2 linked regions of the Oreochromis niloticus genome follow. The protein of the gene in region 2 purifies or fractionates together with the protein of the main gene of each other region. This does not show direct contact. Links are inferred from orthologs where the notes say so. Each region holds a gene or a part of one and is shown on either strand. Other genes may lie near its edges. The genes, in order: imp4 and mphosph10.

Region 1 (8,222 bases), on a different chromosome or scaffold from region 2:
TGAGCAGGTACTAAAATGTGATGTTGTCAGGCTGCATGCCACCGATTGGCTGGTCAATAGCGTCACTTGATGAGTCATGAGAGTATCTTGTTCATGAAAATCAGAACCACCATTTTGGAATCCCGGCAACGAGGGAAATAACTACAAGAAACAACGCTGTGGTCCCCCGAGACTAGCGAAAAGTCACAGACTGAGCAGCAGGTATGTTCTTGCCTCGACGTCCACCTTTGCTGTAGCGTCCATGTCACATAGTAATTACTTTGTGGGACGCTCGGATGCTTTGCTATGACGACAGCCATGCATAACAGGTACTACCCGACTGTAATGGAAAACCAGTCGATCCGAGTCGATCCGAGTCGAGTCGTGGCGAGTCGATCCGAGAAGGTGCTAATGGGAACGGGGCTTATGAGTCTAACTAGCACAATGTAGCCACTTACAGGAGGCAACTGTCATTTCAATTTTATTAATATATCACACTTGCTGCTTCATGCCATCTTTTACTTTTTACTTACTGTATCATATCTAGGTGCTATTACAATATGGTTTTGTTATTTCTATAATATCTGCATATGATATGACAATAATATAGAGAAATCCACGACAATCAAATAACCCCTTATGAGCAAACACTTGGCGAAAGTGGGAAGGAAAAACTTCCTTTTTACAGGAAGAAACCTCTGGCAGCACCAGGCTCAATGAAGGGCTAGAGAATTGTTGGATTAAAAATTTGTTGTATCCTTCAAATAGTTTTGAAGCCTGTCAATAAAATGTATATCAGTATTTCTTACATTTTAATGTAAATGTCTAAGAACGCACCATGTAACGCCATATTTCTAAGTTAGCACTATTTGTACTATTTATTTTTTCATTCACAGGTCTCCATTTAAATTCTTTAATACTGGACCCTCCTTGGATTTAGACGTTGTTCTATATTTGGAAATTATTTTGTGTGTTTTCATTTTTCATCTGTAATATACAGAAACATCTATGAAAATCATCAAGAACCAGGGTTGAAATAACTGCACATGCCATTAAATATGTACTAACCTTGGCAAACATTTTGAGTCTGGAGCTTGGGTCTCTGGATGTAGTGACCATGACTTTAGGATCTTCTACTCCAGCCCATTTATACTCATCATCCACATGAGAGCTGACACCTGCACACACAAGAAAGCACCAAAATTTATGAGTGAACAAAAAGTGAGGAACACTGACAAAATGCTAGTAAGAATGCACAACACTTGCCTTCTGCCCCTTCGTCGTCATACTCCACTAGTTTCTGTAGCTCAAGAGCTTCTTTGCGTATCTCAGTGGGAAGGAGACGATTTTCTGCAGAGAAGTAAATGATGTTTTACACACTCGTGTGTGGTCAGAGAATTTTGGTGCCAACTCTGGTCAAGCAAAATGTAGTTGGAAAAAGGATCTTAAGGATCACCCCAACCTACCGTCGAGGGCACCCTTCAGCTTCTGCTTCTTCTCCTCTATTGTTCGGAGCCTGTCCTCCTGTGCCTTCCTGTACAGGTACTCCCGCCTCAGTCTCACCTCTCGACGCAGCTACGCAAACATTACACCATATTACTCCAAAAACAGGCCCCTTAACATAATGACATTACCTTGCAAAATGACAGTTACCACAATATCTGAACATGTCTACACATCTCACACAAGTTAGTGAGAAAACAAGACGAAATGTTAGAAATAACTTATAATCGTAAAAACTTAATACATAATGGCAAACATGTAAGTAAAAACACTGGACATATCTGAACAGGTCTACGGTTAAATCTCCCTACGTTAAAAATTTTACTTAAGTAAAAAGGAGAATTTAAATTGAATTAAGGTCACTTTGGACTGGTTCTTATATAGCACTTGTTAACTTGAGCAGTCAAAGTGCTTCATAACTCGAGCTTCAGCATCTTGCCCAAGGATACGTTGTCTGGACTGGAGTAGCCAGGAATCAAAGCAGCAACCTTCTGATTTGTAGAAGACCTGCTCTACTTCCTGAGCCACAGCCACCCCATAACATTAAGGATATAAAAGCAGTTACTCTAACTTGGATAAATTTTAAAATGAGGAAGCCACTAACAGTTCACTCAGCTCATTAACCCGGATTAAAAGGAATGAAAAGTAGCGCAACAATAGCAGCAACTTCATATAAACCCCTGGAGTTGGGAGTTAAACCCAAGACACTCTTTTTGGAATTGAAATTGATGAACAGACTCCTTAAACTGAGAAGAACAGAAGAGTCTGGATTTATTTCATTAAACTCTGTGACGTAAATGATCAAACAATTCTCAAAACCCCTGACATTTGCAAATAAAACCAACTTTATCTAAATTCTATTTTCAAGGCACCCAGACATACAAGTTCAGTTAAAACAAAAAAAGCACATACAGTGTCCCGTTAATTCACATTTAATAACCTACAGGGGTTCTCCCCTCACTGTTCTGTGTCTGGCAATCAAGATTGTATCTTCATTAGTCACATTTTAATGACACATTTGTAAGAATTCACTAAAGGTTATTACATGTAATTCTCAATTATTTCTTTCTGACACAACGAAAGTGAGCACAATATTCCATATTTCTGAGACCTGAGACTTTTTTTTCAAAGCAGGTTCCTGGAGAGCTGCTATCTTTGTTTTGATTAGAAAACTCACGCTTCTTGACCAACGAGCAAGTTATTTTTTTCACTCATTAGATAGGCTTCGTGGGTTTATTTTTCCTAGTTATACACCAGTCTGTGACGATACAGAAAATGCAGTTGGGAACGAAAACAAGCGTTTAAACAGTACTCTAGTATTTCAACAATACCAGTTAAAGAGCTTTACTGCTGTGCTCTATGGCTCTATGTGAATGCGTGCTAACACTCGGGTGGGGAAATACGCTCGGTACGTCCACCTTGAGCTGCGCTTCTGTGTCAGCTTCGACCTTTACCATCTCCTTTTAGTATCACACTAAAACACAAATTAACGCTCGCACAAACCTTACAATTTTTTACAACTTACCATGATGTGTTTATTGCTAGTAGCTAACCCACGCTACTCACATGGACACGGAGAGAGACGTACCTACAAGAGTTTGTGCCATTGGCTGAAAGAATGACCAATGGCAAACGTCGATACTGACATGTACTGTACTGTAATGACTCATTTTTCAAATTAAAAGCCAAAGAATTCTTTTTTTTCTTTCTCTTCTCTCTCTCTCTCTCTCTTTTTTTTTTTTACCGATAAACTTGTAACTGCTTCGCATATTCAGTGAATAAACAGACACATAAATCCGCCAGGTTGTTGTAAGAACGAAGATTCTCCCTTGAGGAGGTAATATGATTAAATCATCCCCTCACCATTACACCATGAAAGGCAGGCAACAACGCTGTGGCCAAATATTTCCTGCTATATGTCAGTTGCCATTAAAAGCACCTCTTCCTGTTGAATAAATTAGACTTGAGTATAACCAGATTCGGTGTTTGGATCATGCATATTCTGATTTCAGTATTTCTTTTGGCAACAGGTAAGCGTACACGTCATGATTACAGAGGACTTGAACTCATATCTTAGAGTTTAAATATTTGTTTTTGTAGATCATTGTAGTGCCTGACTGGGCCACTAACGGAAGTAGATTAAACTATCTAGTCCAAAACGGGTTTTAATATGGCATCAGTGCCATTCGGTATATCATGAAGGAAAATTATCTTCTATCATTTCGAGGTACACATTTTCTTTGGCATAATTACATTCAGTGATATTATTATTTAAAAACAGTGAGAAAGAATAAAACATAAACTATCAACTTGTACTTTGTCTTGTACTCTGTTCATGTGGGCTTTTAGAGTATTGGTATTGTATTACTTAGTACTGGTTATTACTAATATATATTAGTACAGGAGTATTAACAGGTCAGTATGAAACTGTATGGCTTAACAAAAACAAAAACAAAACATTCCTATTCAAATAAATATCTACGAGTACTGGAATGAAAATGAGTGAAAAACAACCAACATCAAGAGGAAAACTTTAGTAGACCCCCAGAAAGCCTGGAGAACTACTGATCAGGAGCATTTAAAAATTATTTCCACACCTAAACAATGTCACTGTGCAGGTACCTGTGAGGCATTGTTTTGGCAGAAGCTGACATGTCCTTATGAAGTGAAGTACAAGAGCCTTCCGAGGGTTTGGTGTCAGCAGAACTCTGCCGAGTGCTGCACCGGCCTCACCTTCAGTCACAGTGAACACTTGGTGGATGGAGGCAAACTAAAGGTGACCCAGGATGTGAGCTCCTTCACTGTGGAAGTGTTGGAGCCAAACCACAAACAAGGAGTGTACTGGTGTGGTTTGCTAAACAGAAATGGCACCATCATCAAGCTGGCTGAAGGCTACATCCACAACTGTAAGCATAAGATAATATTTCAATTTTATATGCATGTTAAGCTTTCATAATTTTAAAAATTACAAAAGGTGATGTTCTAATATGAGTATTTATGAGAATCATAGGTTTTCTATGACTGTAAGCCCAGTTAAGATTTGGGACTGTTACTCAGCTCTTTGTGTTAACTTGGATTTCAGGGAATATTTCGTGATTTTGCACACCACAAATTTTAGTTAGTTAGAATAACATAAATTAATAATAGGCTAGCTGGTAAACATAACTAGCCATATATTAATCTCTGGAGATGGTGGAGACCAAAGCGGACACCGTGTTTGTGTTGCAGTGTGTCAGCTGGTTGTGCAAACAGATATTAAAACACTAACAAGTCAGTAGTTTCCCTGTTCTAGTGCAAGAAAGGTAGATAAGCAAGTAAATGTCGATATAGTGCTCATGGGCTGCACTACATGTATACAAACCACATGCTTTTTCTGGAACCCCCTGCAGCCACTGCTTCATATATCTGGAGTTTCATTCGCTGGATTCTGCTCCCTCTTCTGCCCATGGTAACCACATTTACCTGCATGTACCTGAAAAGTAAGATATTTTTATACTTCACCACAACAGACATACAATTATTGCACTGAAGCTAAAGTTAGAAAGACTTTCACCCAAGCTGTGTGACACAACTACATGAAGTATAAAACTTAGAAAACATCTATCTATCCATCCATCTTGTTCTCATTCCTTTCAGATTATAATTCAATTCAATTTTATTTATTCAGCACCAAATCACAACAACAGTGGCTTCAATGTGCTTCATATTGTAAGATAGACCCTACAGTAATACATACAGAGAAAAACCCAACAATCACATGACCCCCTATGAGCAAGCACTTTGGCGACTGCAGGAAGGAAAAAAGCCCCCTTTAACAGGAAGAAACCTCCGACAGAAACAGGCTCAGGGAGGGGCGGCCATCTGCTGTGACCAGTTGGAAAGAGAGAAGGAAGACAGGAGCACAACAACAACGCAGCAATTTATTGGATTTTGAGAGTTAAAATTTATACATGTTAACTTTTAGTGGAGCTTAGAGCTGTTGATATATTAGAAACAAAGAAAACAAAAAGAACTGTTTTACAACATTATCATTCATGTATACACAATATTTTTAAGAATCACTGTAATTTTGGCACCTCTACAGATTATGTGGGATGAGAACTTTTAAAAGATGCAAATATGTCTTAAATGCCTGAATGGGGTGGATGTAAGTCAGGAGGTAGAGGAAGGTTGGTGGTTCCCTGGCTGCTACAGTCTGCATGCCAAAGCATTCTTGGGCAAGACACTAAACCACAAGTTACTTTCCAGTGTATGAATGTTAAATAGAAAGCACTCAAAAAAACGTGCTGAATTAAAATACAAAGATATGGAAAAAGAATGAGAACAAACCCCCAAAACCTCTAAAATTCAAAACTTGGGGTCAACGACCCAGAGACCTGACAGACATGACAGCTGAAAATGAAATAAAGAATATGTTTGATGAAAATTAGTCACATGAAATCTAATTTTGCACATTCTGGATTCAGGTCTTTCACCATCAGCTGTAGAGACAGGCCTTGTGTTTTATGTGTTACTGTTCATTTATGTTCTTCACTTCTAATGAGTCCTTCAGATGATAAATAATGGTAAGGGAAGCTATTTGCGCTGCAGTACTATACGAGATGAACCATTTTGCAATGTAAGAATTTTAGCTCTTGTTTTAATATTTCATAAATAATAAACAATGGTCACTGCATCGTGCTGTAGCATGTAACCATGGTGGGTTCACTAAACTCTAACTTTTCTTTCACAGCAACACAAAAACACCTTTTTAAGGTAAAACCTCCCACACCTTGAAACATTTAAACAGCATGAAGAGTTACAGGTGTTACATCTTTTTCTGGTCTTCCCTCAGAAAGCAGATGGACTTTATGACGACGTGGGTATGACCAAAGCTGTGACTGAGCAGGAGTATGAAAATACAGAATCTCTGCTGTGAAATGCAGGCACGAGGAGCGTTGGCAGAGTCTTTGGAATAATTTAATTATTCAATCTGAAATTATAATCAATTAGTGAGAAAAAACAACAGTTAAATTACAATTGCCAATGAAAATGTTCGATTCAAATAATTTTTTTTTAGTATAGTAACAATTCACAGCAGGAGTGGCTTCATAGCTCTGTCTATTGTTAGCCAATACATATGCTTTTCACAAAATGTCCAACTATAAGCTGGCTAATGTTAAGCAAAGAGTTTCTTTGCACTGTTTTGAAGCCACCAGGGGTTGATACCTGTGGTTGTGAAAAGACTTTCTCTGGAAGTCTGTGGGAAAATGGTCCTCAGACTTAACTGTTGGCACTTTTCTGATTAGTCTATAGACTCAGCCATTCATTTCGAGTCATACTGAATAAAACTTCATTTTTGTCCCAAATTACAGATTCTGATTTATTTTGATGGTAATATATTTCAAAAACTATTTGATATATGAAGCTAGAAGTTTGCAGCAGTCATTATATATGCTCAAACCTTGGACCATAAAGTTTTTTTTTTTAAATGGAAAATGGAGGTAGTCCAGCAAGAAATGTTCTAAAAATATGCTGCTTTGAGATGGAATGACGCGCCAAAGTCCAAAGAGTGTCAGCGACCTCTTCTTTAATATTTTCTTAAGTTTTCTCAAACATTTTCACTTTAACTTTGGAGAACATCCACAGATTGTTTACAAAAGATTTTGGCACTCATGTTACTCATTGGTTAGTGAAGCAGTATGTTATAATTCAATTCAATTCAATTTTATTTATATAGCGCCAAATCACAACAAAAGTCGCCTCAAGGCACTTTATATTGTACAGTAGATAGCACAATAATAAATACAGAGAAAAACCCAACAATCATATGACCCCCTATGAGCAAGCACTTTGGCGACAGTGGGAAGGAAAAACTCCCTTTTAACAGGAAGAAACCTCCGGCAGAACCAGGCTCAGGGAGGGGCGGCCATCTGCTGCGACCGGTTGGGGTGAAAGAAGGAAAACAGGATGAAAGACATGCTGTGGAAGAGAGACAGAGATTAATAACAGATATGATTCGATGCAGAGAGGTCTATTAGCACATAGTGAGTGAGAAAGGTGACTGGAAGGGAAAAACTCAATGCATCATGGGAATCCCCGGCAGCCTACGTCTATTGCAGCATAACTAAGGGAGGATTCAGGGTCACCTGGTCCAGCCCTAACTATATGCTTTAGCAAAAAGGAAAGTTTAAAGCCTAATCTTGAAAGTAGAGATAGTGTCTGTCTCCCGAATCCAAACTGGAAGTTGGTTCCACAGAAGAGGGGCCTGAAAACTGAAGGCTCTGCCTCCCATTCTACTTTTAAATACTCTAGGAACAACAAGTAAGCCTGCAGTGCAAGAGCGAAGTGCTCTAATAGGGTGATATGGTACTACAAGGTCATTAAGATAAGATGGGGCCTGATTATTTAAGACCTTGTATGTGAGGAGCAGGATTTTGAAATCAATTCTGGATTTAACAGGAAGCCAATGAAGGGAAGCCAAAACAGGAGAAATATGCTCTCTCTTTCTAGTCCCTGTCAGTACTCTTGCTGCAGCATTTTGGATTAGCTGAAGGCTTCTCAGCGAGTTTTTAGGACTTCCTGATAATAGTGAATTACAGTAGTCCAGCCTGGAAGTAATAAATGCATGAACTAGTTTTTCAGCATCACTCTGAGACAGGATATTTCTAATTTTAGAGATATTGCGCAAATGGAAGAAAGCAGTCTTACATATTTGTTTAATATGTGCGTTGAAGGACATGTCCTGGTCAAAAATGACT
Region 2 (7,515 bases):
ACGTTGACATTGATAGTCTGTGTTCTGTATTTATTTAGACAGTAATTTTATCTTGGCTTTTTCCTCCCACATACCTTGTAAATGCATTTCTGTCTACTAGTGAAGTTAAGTAAAGTCTGGATATTAACATTACAACGAATCCTTTAATTATGAATGCTTTAGGAATTTTCTGTGGGTGAAAAAAGTGCTAAGGCTGCAATGCACAGACTCACCAAAACTGGAAAAACATTGCCTTTCAATTTCTGCTTCAGTATTCAGATGGTAGGGTCAGTATTAGTAGTTCAGACTGCTGGTTTTGTAAAAGTGTTGGAGAGATTTTATTGGGACACTTTGAGACTCTTTTTTACCAATTGAGCATCTTTTAAACACCACAGCCTACCTGAGTATTGTTGCTGACCACGCCGATCCCTTTAAGACCAGTGTGCCATCATCTGATGGCTGCTTACAGCAGGATATCGTAACACGTCACGGAGCTCAAATTATCTCAAATTGTTTTCTTGAACATGACAGTGAGCTGACTGTGCTGAAATGGCCTCCAGAGTCACCAGATCTCAGTCCAATAGAGAACCTATTGGATGTGGTGGAATGAGAGATTGATGTTGTGGATGAGCTGACAAAAAATGCTATCATGTCAATATGGACCAAAATCTCTGACGAATGTTCCCAGAACCTTGTTGAACCCAAAAGGAAGTCCAACCCAGTGCTGTGTCTAAGAAAGCCATCATTTACTGTATGTGACAAATTAGCAGATATGGGAAATATCAAATTTCTATCACAAACACTTTAGGGGAAGCTGTTAGAACAACACACCGCATACTAATACATCACATGTTAATGTACCACATAGAACTTTATTCCATACAAAGAAGAACTGTGTTTCCAAAAGCAGAAGTGCTATAAGGAACAATCCCCGTTATCACTCTGATCATCAAACTGCCTGGAAAACATGTTAACGGCTCCTCTCAGTCAACGGCAGGATGTGATGCTTCATGCTTCTTCAAGCTCCACGAGAACACCGTCACAGTCTTTAGGATGAAGAAACATGACCGGTTTGCCGTGAGCGCCTATCCGCGGCTCCGCCGAAAGCATTCTGATGTTCTTGGTTTTTAGGTCCGCTATCGCAGCGTTAATGTCGTCTACCTGCAGTCGTAGGGGGAACAAAACATTAATGTTCAATTCATTTGTTATCATTAAGGTTACAAATGATCACAACTGAGTGTCAACTCTCATAACACTGCAGACTAACGCACAGGCCCCCGTGCTGAGTCACATTATGTTGGGTTTACAGCTGCTGTAATGCAACAGGAATAATTCGGGACAAGCTGTTACTGGATGTATAGGACCAACAACAACACTGACATTCGTTCTCTGACATGAACACATAACACCAACAACAAACTCTACTACACTCACACAGGCTCTAGATAATTATTCCTAAATTCTTCTTTGCATCGATGCACGTAGTAATTATGATTTGAATGACCCCAATGCAAAGTAAACTGAACAAACAAACATAAAAAAACAAAAAGGTAAAACGATGTTTCTGCAAAAGTTGAACTGCTTTTTTTAAAGTTATTTTACTTTATGCAATTTAGTAAATTCATAATATTACATTAGGCCATTCTCATGGTCAGTGATGACAATTATTTTCCAGTTTTTAGTGTTTGAAAATGTTTATTTTTAGTTTAATTTGTTAGTTTCCATCTTTTAAATTATTACCTTATGATGGGTATTTGTAAATTCAGAGTAGATCTTAAAATAAAAACACAAGCAATGATAATCGTGTGGTCATCCCAGGTCATATCATATGTACCGAATATGTATGTATTTATATGTACCAAACAGCCATACTACTACACCGATTCACACAAAAAATCCTCATAAAACACGAGAGAGAGATTTTTCTGCAGCACATCCTCAGAGCAAAAGGAAAATGAATATGAACCAGAAGGCGAGGATTGGCTCGTAAAACACTAGTGCGACTAATGCTTTATACCAGTTCACTCATTCATTATATGCATGTCACAGTAGACGTAGACAAGAGGAAGTAAGAAGATGACCAAATTCTGAATTCAGTCTCGTGAACTTGGGGTCACGTGAACAGATAAATGAAGCAGAGTCATGAAAAAATGTAATAAAAGCTCTCCCCTGTCATCGCCTCTCACCTCGATACAAATATGATGCATTCCTCCTGACTTGTTCTTCTGCAAGAAGCCCGAGATGGGGCTCTTCTCTCCTAGAGGATGGAGCAGCTCCAGCTTGGTGTTGCCGAGCTCCACGAACACCGTGTAGACGCCGTGATCGGGCAGGGGTACCTTCTCGCTCACCGTGGCCCCCAGCACATCCCGATACAGCGCCGTGGCCTTCTCCATGTCAGGGACAGCGATGGCGATGTGGTTAAGCCTACCCAGCTTCCACAGAGTCGTGGGAACTCCCTGATGGAGGGGCGCCGTTGTTGAATGTACCCTCTGGAGCGCGACGCGAGAGCATCTTGAAACACCTGCCGCTAAATATGAAATTAAAATACAGAGAGATCAGCTGTGTTTGTCGTTTCTGCTCAAGTAGCTTTGATGTATGCTGTATACTCTGGGCCAAGTCCCGAGTTACATTAATGATGTTTAAAGCCTATGCTTCCTGCACTCCCAAATCTGTTCTCCTTTGTGTGACTGACTGTAGGTTTTTGATTATATGAATAATAATTAGACCAATCTTTTACTGTCTGGTGTTCTGTTTGATGCATGCTGAGTTAATGTAAACCTGAATGACACTCAGTTGTGAAAGAAAGACTTTTCAAAATAAAATTATTCGGCTTCCCTTCCTCCTACGACCAATCGACAGGGCAATTCCTTAAAGACGACATTTTAAAGTAAAGTGCTCATACTGAACATAAAATCTGCACCTTACCATTCATTCAGCTCAATATTTTATACTTTCAAACGACTTTATTGAGTTATGTTGCAAAATAAACCTACCGTCTCCTGATGAAGACATAGTTTTTAAAAAAGTACTTTTTTTTTGTTTGTTTTTGTTACAGATGATACTTAGTTTTTTTATTTTAAAGCCGAAGTCTCAGGAGGACATATCAATAATCTTGGTTTTATTACTGTAAGAGCAATCTTTTGTTTCCCAGGCCATAATCTTGTTTTTGCCTTCATTGGAGGTGATCTTTGAATTCTTCTCCTAGTCTCAGACATGGCTTAATCCCTGTCTGGGAAACCTGCTGTTTATGTACTGAACATATACATATAATTAGGTTATTAGGTCAACCCTGTGTTTCAGAGAGTAAATAACAGTACCCATATAATTTTACACACATCTCCTTACCATACAAAAATCTTGGAATAAAATGCTCCAGTGTGAAGTTACTTAATGGTATGCCTTTGGCTTAAGTTAGTAGTTTGGAAGTTAATAGGTACCTTCGCCAAATATCTCTCTCTGTAAACACGACAGCTTGAAGTGAATGATAAAACTTTGTAGGGGTGTAGCGTGGGGTCATGTTAACTTGGCTTACATCCACCAAGGTCAGCATAATGATTTATTGGTCACAAATTGACAAAAAGCTTTATAACTTGGAAACTATAATTCTTATGATTGTCCTGTGTATTGTCAACATGGAGAAAGCAGCATGTAAAGATTTCAAATGTGTCACATTTGACCTCTGACCTCTCCTTCAAGGTAAATTGATTGATTAATTGATAGACTGATAGACTAAATTGATTGAGAGGTGATAACAATGCTATGTGGAGCTATTTTATTGGAAAACAAAAGTAAAAACTAGTTTGATCAAAGACTTTTTTCACCTGACATGCATCACTAAACATTTTAGGATCCACTGAAATGAATGCTACATATGTACACATATGTCCACATAAAAAAATGATACTCAAAATTATGTCAACTATATTCAAATGGGTTTCAACGGGGCAAATAACAAAAGCCTTTTTGCTGCACTACAAACTTCCTAAAGTATATTTGAAAAGAACAAAGAAAACAAATGAATATAGAGAAAATACAATGCTACTCCCTTAAAAGTAAATACTGTATACAGAGTGAGCTACCTTGGCGGAGGTTTGCGCTTTCTGAGTGCTTCTGGTTCATGATGTAACGTAAACATTGTTTATGTTCGTCAACTTTGCGGGCTCGTTTGAGCTTCCGAAAAAAATTACAGTTCCCTATAACGAAGCTTAGCATCATCGTTTATCGTTTGCAGAACAGTGAACTTAATAGCGAGCATTTTGTAGCTGGATAATTGTTGACACAGACCTGCAACCTTCAGCACGGCGGACGCCATGTTCGTACCCCGGAACCAAGTGGCAGGTACAGAACGGTTTCTCGGTGAGCCTGTTTACGTGCGACACAGACGGTCACACATGTGGGGGCAAACATGGCTAGTGGAGATGTGTTCAGTGTTCTGGAAGAGTGTGTAAAGAAAATAAATGCCAACACAGGACAGCCAGAAAACTTCCTCAGGTAAGTGTTTGTTGTTTGCGTTGAGTATTTTTTTTAAATCTTTTGAAGAAGCTGTTAAATATTTTTAGAAATTCGCTCCAGCTAGCTGAAGCTAACTGTAGCGTTAGCACAGCATTAACACATTTACCTGACAAGACGTTTATACGTCGAGGTTTTGGTAAGATATTGATGATTAGGCGAGTTTCTCCTTTATGTTTCACGTAGAAACACTTCATCGCTTTATGTTCCTAAAATCAGCTGGCTCACGTCTGCATTGTAGAGCTACGTAAAGAAAAAGAAAAAAAAGATGATGTGCTTGTAATAACTGACGTGTTAGACTACCAACTGCTGTGACACACCAGATGTTTATTCATTGCGTATGATGTTTGTCAATCCTCAGAAAGTCCACACCTGTTAGAAAATGTAAAACTTCAAATGTCTTGAATGAAGTAAATATCTAGTACATGCATTTGTGCACACAAGTTTGTGTTGCCGTATTTCAAGTGGGGGTTAAGACCCCTCACCTCACCCAACAGGAGAAAACTTGTATGAATAAAATGGTGGAGAACCCCTACTGAATTTCCACAATCAGACAGGCAAGTTTTTCCCAGCAGAACAGGACTGAGCTCTCGCTGCTGGAGCTGCATAAGCAGTTTAACAAATAAGCACAGTGTTGTTTGGGTGTGGGAGAGAGCACAGCTTTTTCTTGAGGAGCCCAAAAGTCGGCGTAATACAGAAAAATTGTTAATCAGTGCCAAATTGTGGCATTTCTTTGCTTTTTGGAGTGCCAACTGCAGTAATTTATGCCGAATGCTACTGCTGCAGTCATAAAAATCAAATTTTCTGTATCAAATTTTCACTTCACTCTGAGCTACTAAAACAAGAGAAGAAAATTGCTGAAAAGTGGCAAAACGTGCACTTCTGGACTGCATGTGGTATAGTAGTGATCTTAGAGCCATCCCAAAAACACAGGCCACATCATCCCATGGCAACGAAATCAATAATTTGAAGGATGAAACAGTCCCATGGGGCAAGTTGCTGCCCGAAGTGGAGGAGTTTAAGCATGAATGAGGGGAGGAGGAGATTGGCAGATGGATTGAAGCGGCATCTGCAGTGATGCGGATGCTTTGTTGGTTTGTTGTGGTGAAGAGAGAGCTGAGCCTAAAAATGAAGCTTTTGGATTACCGATCGATTTACATTTATGCCCTCACTTATGGTCACAAGCTCTGGGCAGTGACCGAAAGAACGAGGTTGCGGATATGATTGCTCCCACCTGTATGAGCTGCAAGAGGTGGCCGTGGTGAGGGAAGTCTGGCCTTCTCTGATTAGACTGCTGCCCCTGCGACCTGAACCCAGATTAGCGGTAGAAGATGTATGGATGAAACACAGTGGTTTTGTTTTTGTACCAACACATTAATAAATAAGCCACAGACTTTCATCCAATTCAGTTATTTAATACCAACAACAACAACAACAACTAATTTTCCCCCCAATATCGCATCATAAGACATACCTGACTAATTCTGTGTCTTTTCATCTTTGCAGCCTTCAAGATGAAGTGGCAACAGACTTTACCTCCATCACTAAGACTCTATATGACCTGCACAAAGCTCAGGAACCTGGACATTATAAAGGAAGCCCGCTAGCTCAGCTGGTTGTTGAAAATTTTGATGAAGAACAGATTTGGCAGGAGCTAGAGCTGCAGAACAAAGCCGTACTGAAACACTTTAAAAACGCCATAGACGAGGCTTTAGCAGATGAGACGTTAACTGTGCTGGAGGAAGAGGAGCAGGAAGAGAGTGGTCAAGAAGAAGAAGGAGCATCAGCAGATGATGATGACGATGAAGAAGAGGAGGAGGAGGAACAAGAATTGGAACCACCGAGATGGTCAAAGAAAATGGCTGTGGAGGTAGAGGATAACTCAGAGGATGACTCTGATTTGGATTTTGATGTGGATGCTCTGGAGAAAAAAGAGAAACAGAAGAAGGATACAGGAAGGAAGGCTTCCAAAGCAAAAGTGATGCCCTCCGAGGTTGATGATAAGTTCTTTAAACTGTCAGAGATGGAGGCATTTCTGGATGATATGGACAAGCGCGAGGGAAAGGAGGATGAAGATGACGTAGACTATTTTCAGGATCTGCCTTCAGATGAGGATGATGATCTTGACCTAGAGCAAATCATTTCCACCAAAAAGCAAAAGAAAAATACTGTATGTATCTTATCACACATTTTCCACTCATTTTTTTGCCTCCCGATAGTTCAAACTACAGCCAATATATTGACTGTTCTTTATGCCGACAGGTGAAGAGCTCCAGGAATCTCAAGTACAAGGACTTCTTTGACGCCGTGGACAGCGAACCAGCTAAAACAGACGACCTGTCAGATGGAGAGGATGACAGCGTGGATGAAAGCCAGGAGGAAGGTGAAGAAGTAATAGATGACGACTATGATGGCGAAGAGGAGGGTGATGATGAGTAAGTGCGATCAAAAATTATAAAACGTGTAGTTATGTGTGGGAGAAGTCAATTTCACCATGTTCGTGTCTGGACTTTGGCAGGGATGAGGAGAGGGGTCAGTCTAGGTCATCTCATAAGAAAGTGACCTTTAATCTCTCGGATGATGAAGACAGCGAGGGAGAGGATGTGGAGGACATTTTGGGAGGAAAAGCCAAAGGCTCAGCAAAGTCTGAAGCAAAGTCATCGTTTGAGAAACGGCAAGAAAAGGTAAACGAAATGCCCCTGAAACAAGGTTTTAGATGTCACTGGTTTGATTAACATATCCAACACAGCAAGTTGGAGCAAGTTTTTTAAAATTTAATTTGTTAATTTCATTCTAATTTATCCCTGTTTGACTTAAGAGGATGCAGCTGTAAGCCCTCCAGGATAATAAAAAGCAAAATAAAGTGTTAAATCACAAGAGGACTGAGGGTGTACTCACACGAAGTGTGGTTGTGCTTGCTCTTTCATGCACTTAAAACTCTTAAAAAGTGCTCTTGCAGAGCACAGTTCATGATTCTAGGATGCATGTGTCCTCTCACATGTGTTAGATGTATTTAAAAGGCCCCTT

What was found.
Region 1: the proteins of mphosph10 (region 2) and imp4 purify together in Homo sapiens (affinity purification with mass spectrometry; 3 studies listed by BioGRID and IntAct, with this or other methods). This does not show direct contact. The link is inferred for Oreochromis niloticus from reciprocal best matches to the Homo sapiens genes MPHOSPH10 and IMP4.

The regions. Positions count from the first base shown.
Region 1 is NC_031977.2:3,338,361-3,346,582, reverse strand, and holds the start of imp4 (U3 small nucleolar ribonucleoprotein IMP4), read right to left. Parts: upstream 3,162-8,222; 5' UTR 3,011-3,161; coding exon 3,008-3,010; intron 1,555-3,007; coding exon 1,446-1,554; intron 1,330-1,445; coding exon 1,246-1,329; intron 1,158-1,245; coding exon 1,048-1,157; intron 1-1,047. UniProt on the Homo sapiens protein: Component of the 60-80S U3 small nucleolar ribonucleoprotein (U3 snoRNP). Required for the early cleavages during pre-18S ribosomal RNA processing. Part of the small subunit (SSU) processome, first precursor of the small eukaryotic ribosomal subunit.
Region 2 is NC_031965.2:17,951,934-17,959,448, reverse strand, and holds the start of mphosph10 (U3 small nucleolar ribonucleoprotein MPP10), read left to right. Parts: upstream 1-4,341; 5' UTR 4,342-4,384; coding exon 4,385-4,470; intron 4,471-4,597; coding exon of another isoform or gene 4,598-4,685; exon of another isoform or gene 4,686-4,700; intron 4,701-5,994; coding exon 5,995-6,658; intron 6,659-6,750; coding exon 6,751-6,923; intron 6,924-7,006; coding exon 7,007-7,172; intron 7,173-7,515. Other genes in the region: mcee (methylmalonyl-CoA epimerase, mitochondrial), read right to left, coding at 988-1,140, 2,166-2,506, 4,264-4,341, 4,598-4,685. UniProt on the Homo sapiens protein: Component of the 60-80S U3 small nucleolar ribonucleoprotein (U3 snoRNP). Required for the early cleavages during pre-18S ribosomal RNA processing. Part of the small subunit (SSU) processome, first precursor of the small eukaryotic ribosomal subunit.